Linked DNA regions of Neodiprion lecontei. The protein of the gene in region 1 interacts with the protein of each later gene in a biochemical or structural test. Links are inferred from orthologs where the notes say so. Each region holds a gene or a part of one and is shown in the gene's direction. Other genes may lie near its edges.

Evidence for each region.
Region 2: of the proteins of ubiquitin-like modifier-activating enzyme 1 (region 1) and ubiquitin-conjugating enzyme E2 W, one has a biochemical effect on the other in vitro, tested with the Homo sapiens proteins (5 studies listed by BioGRID, with this or other methods). The link is inferred for Neodiprion lecontei from reciprocal best matches to the Homo sapiens genes UBA1 and UBE2W.
Region 3: of the proteins of ubiquitin-like modifier-activating enzyme 1 (region 1) and ubiquitin-conjugating enzyme E2 N, one has a biochemical effect on the other in vitro, tested with the Homo sapiens proteins (10 studies listed by BioGRID, with this or other methods). The link is inferred for Neodiprion lecontei from reciprocal best matches to the Homo sapiens genes UBA1 and UBE2N.

What each region holds. Positions count from the first base shown.
Region 1 is NC_060264.1:984,637-988,392, forward strand, and holds the start of ubiquitin-like modifier-activating enzyme 1, read left to right. Parts: upstream 1-1,208; 5' UTR 1,209-1,746; coding exon 1,747-3,756. UniProt on the Homo sapiens protein: Catalyzes the first step in ubiquitin conjugation to mark cellular proteins for degradation through the ubiquitin-proteasome system.
Region 2 is NC_060265.1:21,205,153-21,208,908, reverse strand, and holds the start of ubiquitin-conjugating enzyme E2 W, read left to right. Parts: upstream 1-1,412; 5' UTR 1,413-1,636; coding exon 1,637-1,660; intron 1,661-2,674; coding exon 2,675-3,025; intron 3,026-3,481; coding exon 3,482-3,557; intron 3,558-3,756. Other genes in the region: protein MCM10 homolog, read right to left, coding at 1-839. UniProt on the Homo sapiens protein: Accepts ubiquitin from the E1 complex and catalyzes its covalent attachment to other proteins.
Region 3 is NC_060264.1:30,171,182-30,174,937, reverse strand, and holds ubiquitin-conjugating enzyme E2 N, read left to right. Parts: upstream 1-1,384; 5' UTR 1,385-1,397; coding exon 1,398-1,432; intron 1,433-1,504; exon of another isoform or gene 1,505-2,036; intron 2,037-2,076; exon of another isoform or gene 2,077-2,303; intron 2,304-2,460; coding exon 2,461-2,712; intron 2,713-2,814; coding exon 2,815-3,025; 3' UTR 3,026-3,327; downstream 3,328-3,756. UniProt on the Homo sapiens protein: The UBE2V1-UBE2N and UBE2V2-UBE2N heterodimers catalyze the synthesis of non-canonical 'Lys-63'-linked polyubiquitin chains. This type of polyubiquitination does not lead to protein degradation by the proteasome.

The sequences.
Region 1 (3,756 bases):
TCAGGCAGTGGAAAAAAACTGTATACAATGAAGTCTAATGGGCAGGCTCAAACTTGACGATAATTATCAAATGTATATTATATTTTAGCGTCATTTACCCACATATTAGATAACTGAATATAACATAGTGAGAGAGTATATTGATTATACCATAATTCTCAAACAGTGTGTTTTGCAACAAGAGATATTTTTACCCTGTGTGCAGAAGTACGTATTTGTGGTGTGCTGTAAACCGATGAAATAATTAAGGAAATGGTATAGCAGACCATTTACCTCTAATTTCTTACGTTTTGAAGAACGTAAATGTAAAGCTAACCCGGTAGTTGACTAATTATTGTAAAAGATTGAATCGTTGATAATGGAGTGCGGTATTTATAATACAGTGTAGGTGTGGCTTACATACGTAATTAAAATGCAGAAGGTTTGTTGTGAAATATTGTGGTTGTCGTCAGTTTTCTTTACTCCGCACCGTATATTACTCAGAATCTTGTATTTTTTATAATTTTCATTTTACTAAACAGTAGAGCAAATAAGAAGGCAGCTTCCTCAGAGAACAGCAATTCAAATTGAATGGCGGCAAGTTCGTCCGTACAACAGTATGTTAATAGACGGTCGACTCGTTGTTTCAAAGGCATTGATCTACCGATTCGTCATGGTTATGTGATTGTTCCGCAACTCTACCGTTAAGTATTTGAAAAGGGGCGAATAAATAAAAAATTTGAAAAAAAAACGTTCGCCATATCTCGAGTCGTTGTATATTTGTCAGTCGACGAGCAGTCACTTGACATTACTTATATTGAGAACGAATAAAAACTGGCAGAAATATGAAGCATCTGCCATACTCGCAGTTGTGCGAATTGGGGTCCGAATCATAACAGAAATCCTAAAGTTGAAAATATCCTATTGATTTATGTATTAAATTTCAAATCAGTGATTTAATCTCTGGAAGTCCGTAGGTACGCTCGCCGTTGACGAGGTGTATAAAAATTGCTAGTCCTGCGGACTTTAGCGTGCGTGCACGATGAGCTGAAGGGCGTTGGAAAAAATAGCAGCATTCTGCTATACCGACTCTACATCGGATCCCACAAGACGGGTCGGTAAGTACAGGCCACTAGAATTGACCCCAAACTCTATCAGACCCGATAAATTATTACGAGAAATAACTCTGCGCTAGCATTCTCCGTCTATCTTCAGTTGAACGTAGTCGTTGACGGAGGAATTTACTGTAAAAGTTGACGGTACGGTTCAAGTTTGGTAAGACGGCGCAGTAGTCACTTAGAATGACGAATCAAAATTTCGTTCGTGTAGTTACGGACGAAGATGGAATCACCTGTTCTACTTTTGTCCAGACTGCAGGGTTGCGATAACTCGATATCGAGAAGGCAGTGGGTGAATCGGCGGCCGAGGAGCGAAGAAAGAACGAGAAATCATTCCTGTATGGTTGGTTGTTCATCTTGTGCGTGCGTCAGGGCTAGAGACCCCAATCCTAGTGACGAATAGTCTTTGTCTTAACGTGAAGCAGGTAAATCGAAATACAATCGTGCACGTTGTCGATCGAGGAAAGAAATCAACGCGGCGAACGAGGGAAAGGGCTGGAAGAGGGAAGAGCGAAGAGAGGGTGGTGCGGAAGGACGTCGTAGAGAGGAGAGGAGAGGAGACGTGTTGCGCGTGAAGCGTAGGGCTTATCAGTGCAAGCGGACGAGGAAAACAATCGACAGATATATAAAACTGCTTCCTTGAAGTCCGATGTCTAGTGCTGAGGTGGTGGAGAGCTCCGTTGACCCCCCAGCCAAGAAGCGACGCGTTGCTGCTGCGACTACGGGAGGAGCCGAGAACCCCACGGCGATCGTAGAGATGGCGAAAAATGGCTCGACTTCCCGCGCACCGGCCGAAATCGACGAGGGACTTTACTCCCGTCAGCTGTACGTCCTCGGGCACGATGCCATGCGCCGAATGGCGTCTTCGGACGTTCTGATATCGGGCCTCGGCGGCCTGGGTGTAGAAATTGCGAAGAATGTTATCCTCGGCGGCGTAAAGTCCGTGACCTTGCACGACGACACCGTCTGTCAAATAACCGACCTCGGCTCTCAGTTTTACCTGACCGAGTCTGACGTTGGAAAGAATCGCGCCGAGGCTTGCAGCTACCATTTATCCGAGCTGAATAATTACGTCCCGACTCGTCACTATGCCGGCCCCTTGTCCAAGGAATATATTAAAAATTTCAAGGTCATTGTCCTCACAAACACATCACTTTCCGAGCAACTACGCATATCTGAAATAACCCACGCCAATAATATCGCTCTGATCATCGCCGAGACTCGTGGTCTGTTCTCCCAAGTCTTCTGCGACTTCGGCCCTTCTTTCACCGTCGTAGATACCAACGGTGAACCTCCGATCAGCGCCATGGTAGCCAGTATATCCAGGGACGTCGAGGGTATTGTGACCTGCCTCGACGACAGCAGGCACGGCATGGAGGATGGAGATTACGTCACCTTTTCCGAAATCCAAGGCACCACGGAGCTCAACGGCTGTGAACCCAAGAAGATCAAGGTGCTCGGCCCGTACACGTTCAGCATCGGAGATACCACAAAGTACTCGGAGTACATTAGAGGCGGTATTGTGACTCAGGTGAAAATGCCAAAAACATTGGAATTCAAGCCACTCAAAGTGGCTCTGAAGGAGCCGGAGTTCCTCATCACTGATTTTGGCAAGTTTGACTATCCGGAACAACTGCATCTTGCCTTTACCACACTGCACAAATACATTGAGACTAAAGGACGCCTTCCTCGCCCTTGGAATCAAGAAGATGCCCAGGAATTTGTAGCTGTTGCTAAATCGGTGAAGGAAGATGGTGGAAACGACATTGAGATTAACGTTGAGCTGCTAGAAACTTTTGCCAAAGTTTCCGCCGGAGATTTGAATCCCATGAATGCAACGATCGGAGGTGTAGTTGCTCAAGAAGTCATGAAAGCTTGCTCCGGAAAGTTTTCCCCAATTTTCCAGTGGCTCTACTTCGACGCCATCGAATGCCTGCCCGCTGATAAGTCGGAATTATCAGAGGAGGATGCCTGTCCAACCGGGACTCGTTACGATTCTCAAGTTGCCGTGTTTGGGAGAAAATTCCAATCGAAAATTGGGGCGCTCAAGTACTTTGTCGTTGGAGCTGGCGCAATTGGCTGTGAATTGCTAAAGAATTTTGCCATGATGGGTGTTGGTGCGGAAAATGGCTGCGTCACCGTGACTGATATGGACTTAATTGAAAAATCCAACTTGAATAGACAATTTTTGTTCAGACCTACGGACGTTCAAAGATCCAAGGCTTCTACCGCTGCACGAGTAATTAAAGGCATGAATCCTAACATGAAGGTGATTGCCCACGAGAATAGAGTTGGACCAGAGACTGAGAAAACTTACAACGACGAGTTCTTTGAAGTACTCGATGGAGTCGCCAATGCCTTGGACAATGTGGATGCCAGAATTTACATGGACCGAAGATGTGTGTATTACCGAAAACCACTGCTTGAATCCGGAACCCTGGGAACCAAGGGAAACACTCAAGTTGTTGTGCCGTTCCTAACGGAGTCTTACAGTTCGTCTCAAGACCCTCCGGAGAAGAGCATCCCAATTTGTACTTTAAAGAATTTTCCGAATGCCATTGAACACACTTTGCAGTGGGCCAGAGACACCTTCGAAGGACTATTCAAACAGGCTGCGGAGAGCGCAGCTCAGCACATCTCCGATCCTCTATTTATCGAG
Region 2 (3,756 bases), on another chromosome or scaffold:
TCTTTAGACACTCCCAATATCATTATTCTTTGTCCATTATCAACAGATAAGGCTGCCTCATTTATATTTTCATCTTTGTTATCCAGTACTCCTGGGTTCAAAACTCCAATCACCATGCCAGTATTAGTTTTCCAAAATGATTTGTAGGCATCACCAAATAAAAATAAAGATACGGTTTTAATACCATCAGACAGGTCACTTATCTTCCAGATACAGTACTGGTTTCCTTTTTGTGAACTGCGTGTACCAGATTTGTTGATAAGTACTCCGGCAATTACCCAGTCAGTTTGGAGATCTGCAGTGTTCAAGTGATATTTGATTCTAGAAACTGTGACTGGTGTTCTACCTGTCATTCTTTCCTTTAGAGAGGCTGAAGACACAACAGGATTTATAATTCTTAACCCAAATATTGGGTCGCAGTATATGTCTTTTGATTCAGTCTTGGTGGAGTCAGGTGGACAGCATAACTCAGTACTGTGATTTTTAGTGAAAGATCCGGATGTATTTTTAAATGTTTTTGGATAAGAGGTGTTTGTTTCGGATGCATTACTCTTTAAAATGTTCTTTATCTCTCGACCTGAGCTGGAGTAATTTTGATTTTCAAAATCACGTTTATCTTCATCATCAGATGAATCCGTATCACCATTGTGAATCATAGTTTTTTTACCGAGTGTAGAATATCTATGAGGACTAGGAATATTAGTTTCTTGTTCTAAAAAGTTGAGGCTTGATTCTGTTGGCTTTGATTTTTGAATGGATGCATCTGCATCTTCTGTTTCATCATTTGCTAGCAGATCTTCTAGCAAATCTCCAACGTCGGAATCATTGTCACTAGCCATGGTCAAACAGGTTTTCTACCTAAATAAAAAAGCAAAAAATTCATTGAAATAAAATTCACTGTTATATCTATTGTATTCTTAGACTTGGTAGATAATTAATATCATTCTTCTTTTACCTTTGGTGTATTGCCAGACAATAGTTGGTTAGAACAGAAATCTATGAATCTATAAAAAACGTCAAGGAAGTTGTATATTCAGGTGGACATTATTATGTATTAAATATATCAATATATTTGATGCAGCACACGTTGCACTTATCACTACGGTGGATTTCTGTCAAAAATGATTACTTAAAAACCAATATGAATTTGCTGACACATATCTTTACATTTGCCTCGCCATACTTTTTGGCGGGTAAGTCACAATTAACAATCACGAACTATATAGAGAGATTGGAACGAGTAGAAAACTCATGGATAATAATATGGTAATAATGAGTAGTCCGACGCTGCGCCTCTAGCGGGAATAATTGACACACCTGTTGGTAATTACAGTCGTCAAAATTTTATGCGGGCATCTCTGACGTTACTATTTCTAGCATGGATTGTGTGGTCAGAGGTCTGTCTGCTGTGGCCTGGTGCTGCTTGTCTTTAGTGTCAGTTTGGATTACTGTCAAATTAACAAACTTGTTTCCAAATTAGGCGCTACCAATGTATCTGGAATAAAGTTGATATAATGCGATTTTATAGCTGCAAATATTCATCACCTCTTACCGTTCAGATACCAAACAATCGTCGTTAAAGTTCATAATTTTCCGATACCATGAATGGTTATGTTTCAAGTGCTGTTTAACAATAATGGCGGCAATGTCCCCGTCCGAGGTGAGTCGGTGTTAAATTTTTTGCGAAATGCAGGTGAATGTCAGATTATTCTGACTGCTACTACGCTTCTAAGTAGTGTGCAAATTTTATTTTACTGGGTAGCTAAAATTGAGATACCAAAGTGTATCGATTGGGTATCTAGTCCAATAACTACGTGAGTGCATTGTCCTCTTGGGCCAATGTGACGTTTTACTCTATTTATTTATTCCATTTGTCAATTTTAGTTTTCGTCGCTTAGTCACGTGCCAATGCAATTTGTATTAAATCTTTTGACGTATGTGACTCATGATAATTCTGAACAATGAATTTCTATGCTTAACTGAAAGTGATAACATATTTTTATCCCACCTTATGACTCACAAACGCAAGCAAAATAGTCTTATAAAATGAAAAATTATGGCTGGTCTATAATGTACAAGACTGGATTATGTTTGACACTTCGAAAACTGGATTATTATAATTATTAAATTTAATGTGGTCCAAGCACATTTGTTCATTTGTGACAGATGTCCTAGATTTTATATATCGCTTCTGCTACAGAAAAATGCAAGATAGAAATTTTTACTTTAAATTATTGTACAACCGCCACTAGTTCACAAATAATCGAATATATCAATGTATTTGCCAAGGTTGTCACAAACCTGGGAAATCGGTAGAATAGGAAAAAATCAAAGAATTCACAAGTTGCTAAATGAAGACAAAGAAATTTGATTAAAACTTGCTAATGTAGAATATAGTCAATTTTGATAAGTTATTTGATAATTGCTTACCTACTGTTCCAAGAACTTCATTCCGAGGCAGTTCTCTGTGATAAATTTTATTAATATTATGGTACATAGATACTTTGATATTTTACTAGGTTATCTACAACAGCATTCAAAATATAACTAGTTAATTACCCGTGGGTTTTACTCTCAGCAGATTCTGTGGTATAGTCTCCAAATTCTGTTAGTTATTCTTGACCCTCATTTGAATTACTTTATCTGACAAAGAATAAATTTTACTGGATTTCAGCGGAGATTACAAAAGGAGTTGATGTCATTGATGCGTGAACCACCTCCTGGTGTTCACGTAGATGGTGATCAAGCTGGCCAGAATCTGACACAATGGATAATCCATATGGAAGGAGCAAAGGGGACGCTATACGAGGGTGAAAGATTTCAGTTGCAATTTAAGTTCAGTTCCAAGTACCCATTTGATTCACCTGAAGTCACATTTATTGGAGGCAACATCCCTGTTCATCCACATGTCTACAGCAATGGTCATATCTGTCTGTCTATACTGACTGATGATTGGTCACCTGCTCTGAGTGTCCAAAGCGTCTGTTTAAGTATAGTTTCTATGCTGAGCAGTTGCAAAGAAAAGGTAATGCTCTAATATTTTTTATGTGGTTTTTTTTTCTTGTATGATTTTTCTTTTGTTTTATATTCGTTCCTCGCTATCTTAATTGACTCATTGAGTTGTTCAAAGCGTTTCAAATACCTGGTTTCCTCAGTTGACTTGTTCAGTTTATGAAGAATACATTTAACTGTGAAAATGAAATAATGAAGATCTTAGTTCATCAACTCTTCTGAGTTATAGTTCGAAAGTTTGGATCTAAGTTTTGTTCATCATTAGTAGGAATGATCTGTCAACAAAAAAGCAGAACATTGAAAGATGTTCAAGCTTCCAGTAATATTCATTATTTTATACAAAAGAAAAATTTACCACAATCTTCAATTCCTTCTTTTGAATATTTGAAGTTATTATTGAGTATTGAGCAATTTTATGCTATGGGTGAATCTTTCCAATTCTAATTGTTTTTTTATTTTTGGTTCGCAGAAAAGGCCACCTGATAATTCCTTTTATGTGAAGACATGTAATAAGAATCCAAAGAAAACGAAATGGTGGTATCACGGTACGTTCGTACACTGCACAAATAAAATATATTTGGAAATCACATGGCTTGAAATTTTATCATTATTTTCAAGTATTAAAATTGTCATGGATGTTTAAAAAGCTACCATATTAAAAATAATGTCTGGATAATTGGAACAAAACATGAATATCCTTGCACTCATACAGTTGCAGACATCAGCTTGACTTGTCGTGGTAAT
Region 3 (3,756 bases), about 29 Mb from region 1:
ATGATTCATTTTAACAGAGCCGAAACTTGGGTTGGGAGATTCAATAAATTTTTAGATTTCAACGACCTGAGTGAAGATCAAAGTGCCCAGGTAATTAATTTTTATTGGCTAAATCATTCGATCAATAATAGCAATTTTAGTGCTGTCAAAAGATGAGAATTGGGGGCTCGTCTTGAAATTTGCAAGTATATTTCGATCATTTTTACAGGTTAGGTAGGCGATCAGCGAAAACAATAGATACCTATATCAAGCTGAATCACCGATTGACGAATTCTTATCATTTGTTAAATTAATTCGGTCATGCTGGTAAACAAATGATAACAAAAGGCATCGCGATCTTGATTCTTTGATAAAATCGGTATTAACGGCTGATAATATTATTATAATTAACTGCGTGTGAACGAGGCAGACGTCCGTGATGAAGTTTCACGTAAATTTGTATGTAAACATTGCGATGTTGATAATACGATACATGTGTGCACATACATTTCATCCATAGAAAGGAGCAGATACATACCAGAAAGATAAATTCTGACGCTCCGTTTAATCGAAATAGATCGGTGATACGTTTTATTTATTTATAACGACGGGTTAACGAGACGCGAGGACACGCTTGAAACAATGACATGACGTCTCCGTGCTCCTGACGCATTTGACTTTTGAAACGATAATGATGACAGGTCTGTGCTCTTCTGTTAATCGTTGTCGACAGAGTCACGCTCCGTAGAACAGAAAGGGATTTAACTTACCTACCTGACGACATTGGCTTGACACGAGCGGCAAGCTTGATCGGTATTACTAATTCAAATTAATTGAAATTAGAGGAGTCGTATAAGAATAATAGTAAACAAACATTACAAATTTTACGTGTATTTTCAACGTTGACAACTCTCTCGTTGATGCACGTTACGTTGTATCTTGGCTATACCATAAGTCAACGTTCCAAGTCGACGCGCTCGCTTTCGAAGTCTAAGCTCATGGAGACGAGAGACCTTAGCCTAGATTTTCACGGGTAGCAATATACAATATTATTTCGCGACCGAGTTTTCGACAAATAGGAATGTCAATAAAGCAGGGGCCTGATTCTGACTTATTTTGCACTTGTTAAAAGAAGATTTTCCGTTTAAAGCTGCCTTCTGACTGGTCTAGATAACGCTTCAGATCAGGTTACTCTACAATCCGTTTTGCGGCACTGTAGGGGTGCGCTCCGATAGCAGCCTGTGTGTCAACAATCCTTCATCTCTTTTGCGCTGCCAATTTTGGGTATAGCGCTGCCTCTGTACTAGAGAGTTTTTGGCGCTGCCAGATAATTTCGGAACGCATTCTAGGTAGCGCTTCTGCGACAGCATTCTGCTGTCCATGAAAATCCAGACACGCTGAAGTTCCGGACCGGCCGCATGTGTTGGGATGCCCTTGATTTGTGGCGTCAAGGGTAAATTTTTATTTTACGATCCAATTCATAAAAAAGTTGCACAAGTGAATGTAATAGCTCATAATATGCTGGTCAATTTTTGTCGATGATTAAGGTTAACCTGACTATCGCATTTGCCTAAAGCAAGCGAATGAAATTACAATCCGTGACGAAATTGGCGAGACTGAATAATATCATCCACCATTCCCGTTCCGCTCCACTGTCGCCACCTGCGTATGAGGAAGTTAACTATCGAAATTGCAAGAAACACAGAACCTAGCTGTGGATACACACACTTGATCGTGTTAAAAAATTAAATTAGTTTTCTTTTCATAATAGAAATCAAAGCCTAGGTACTAGTAGATTATCTAAAATTCTAATTTCACTATCCGGCTCGTGTTAACCTAATTTGTACTTAACCAAAAGGTGAAGAGCCTCGCTAGATATCGGCGAACGAGAATAGAAAATATAATACACGATTAAACCGCTAACTGGAAGTAGTACACCACCACCGAGGATCTTGCGAGAGCTGGCAGGCGATCACGAATACCCCCAGTAACAGTGACGGAGTACGCATACTGCCAGACCTTCGGGGTGACGCGGGCACATTTTTTTAAACCAAAATGTACGTACATTGTTACAGTTACTGTTCCGCAATGCAAACACCCATCGCTTGCCACAGCACGATCAACGGCTTCGATCTAATGTCGAAATTACTCGCCGCCCAATGATATACGCCTTTGTTTACTCGAATATAAGTGCCGTCATCCCGCTTTCGCGAGAGATTGCCGTACTTTTTTCCTTCCATTTTTACTCCTATTATGTCTCGTTTGATTTTTTGATCAGAGAATGAAAAGTTGATAACACAAATTCGTGATAACTATTTGTATATGTACGTATCATTGCTGTAGACTTTTGGCTTGACATATATGTACTTTGCATTTTGCTTTTGCTGTAAGGTTATTGACTGCCTGTTTATTCTTCGCTCCTTAGTTCGCTGACTTTGTCTGACACTGATTTCATATTGTCGTCGATCGTTTTTCTTACAGATTAATAATGGCGGACCTACCACGCCGTATAATAAAAGAGACGCAGAGATTGATGCAGGAGCCGGTCCCTGGCATCAGCGCTGTACCAGACGATGCAAACGCTAGATACTTTCACGTCATTGTAACAGGTCCCGAAGACTCACCGTTCGAAGGCGGACTGTTTAAACTAGAATTATTTTTACCAGAGGATTACCCTATGTCAGCCCCTAAAGTTAGATTTATTACTAAAATATATCATCCCAATATAGACAGGTATGCTACATCTACTATTATAATGTATTCTACAATGTAAACTGTTGAAAAAGCTGAACTGATAACTAAAACATTTGATTGTATTTGGTTTCATGTTACCAGATTGGGCAGAATCTGCCTGGATATATTGAAGGACAAATGGAGTCCTGCTCTTCAGATAAGGACAGTACTGCTATCAATACAGGCTCTCTTGAGTGCACCAAACCCTGATGATCCATTAGCAAACGATGTCGCCGAATTGTGGAAGATTAACGAAGGTGAAGCGATACGCAATGCCAAAGAATGGACCCGTAGATACGCCATGGACAACTGATCTCAGCCTGGTCCGTTATCGGAGCCTTCCTCTCGCACGCATGGCGCATGGCAAAAACACCAATGCCTCATCGTCCCCATCTTACGATCCTTGTTCCCGTTACCACCTTGTTCCTCCTAGACCTCGAACAAATTGCACCACCACCCTGTCACCTTCCTCCACCAGACTAACATACTATCTCAGTCCCCTGCTGTTGCCACTGATGCTGTTGTCGCTGCCGCTACTGCTGCTGCTGCTGCTACTGCTGCACCTCTGTCGAAAATTTTGCTATTTGAAAGAATAAAAGGTTTTTTCTAATAAAATTATACGTATTATAATTAAAATGACAGACTGCATTTTCTATTTTCGATATTATTCACACAGTTTCGACGTTTAAATTTATTTCCATTTTATTACCGTTTGTTTAATTTTTTTACTCTCTTGATTATGTATCCAAATTGAATAACGGCGGTGAAAATCAGAGCAATAGAGTTGCAAATTCACACAAATACTCGAAAAAAGACATCGGTTCTTTACGCTTTTTTTTATCTGAAAGAAAAATGTTTTTATCTCGACGATTCACAGAGTCGTTATTTTGAACTACGCTTCTAGTGACGTGTGAGAAGGTAGAATCCATAGATCGACTCTTCATATATGTGATACGAGTTTTTAGGAGAATGGCAGAGCTGCTGTATATTAACTGACTGGTTGAGCTCTCACAGATGTGGAATATAATAATACTCACTACGTGA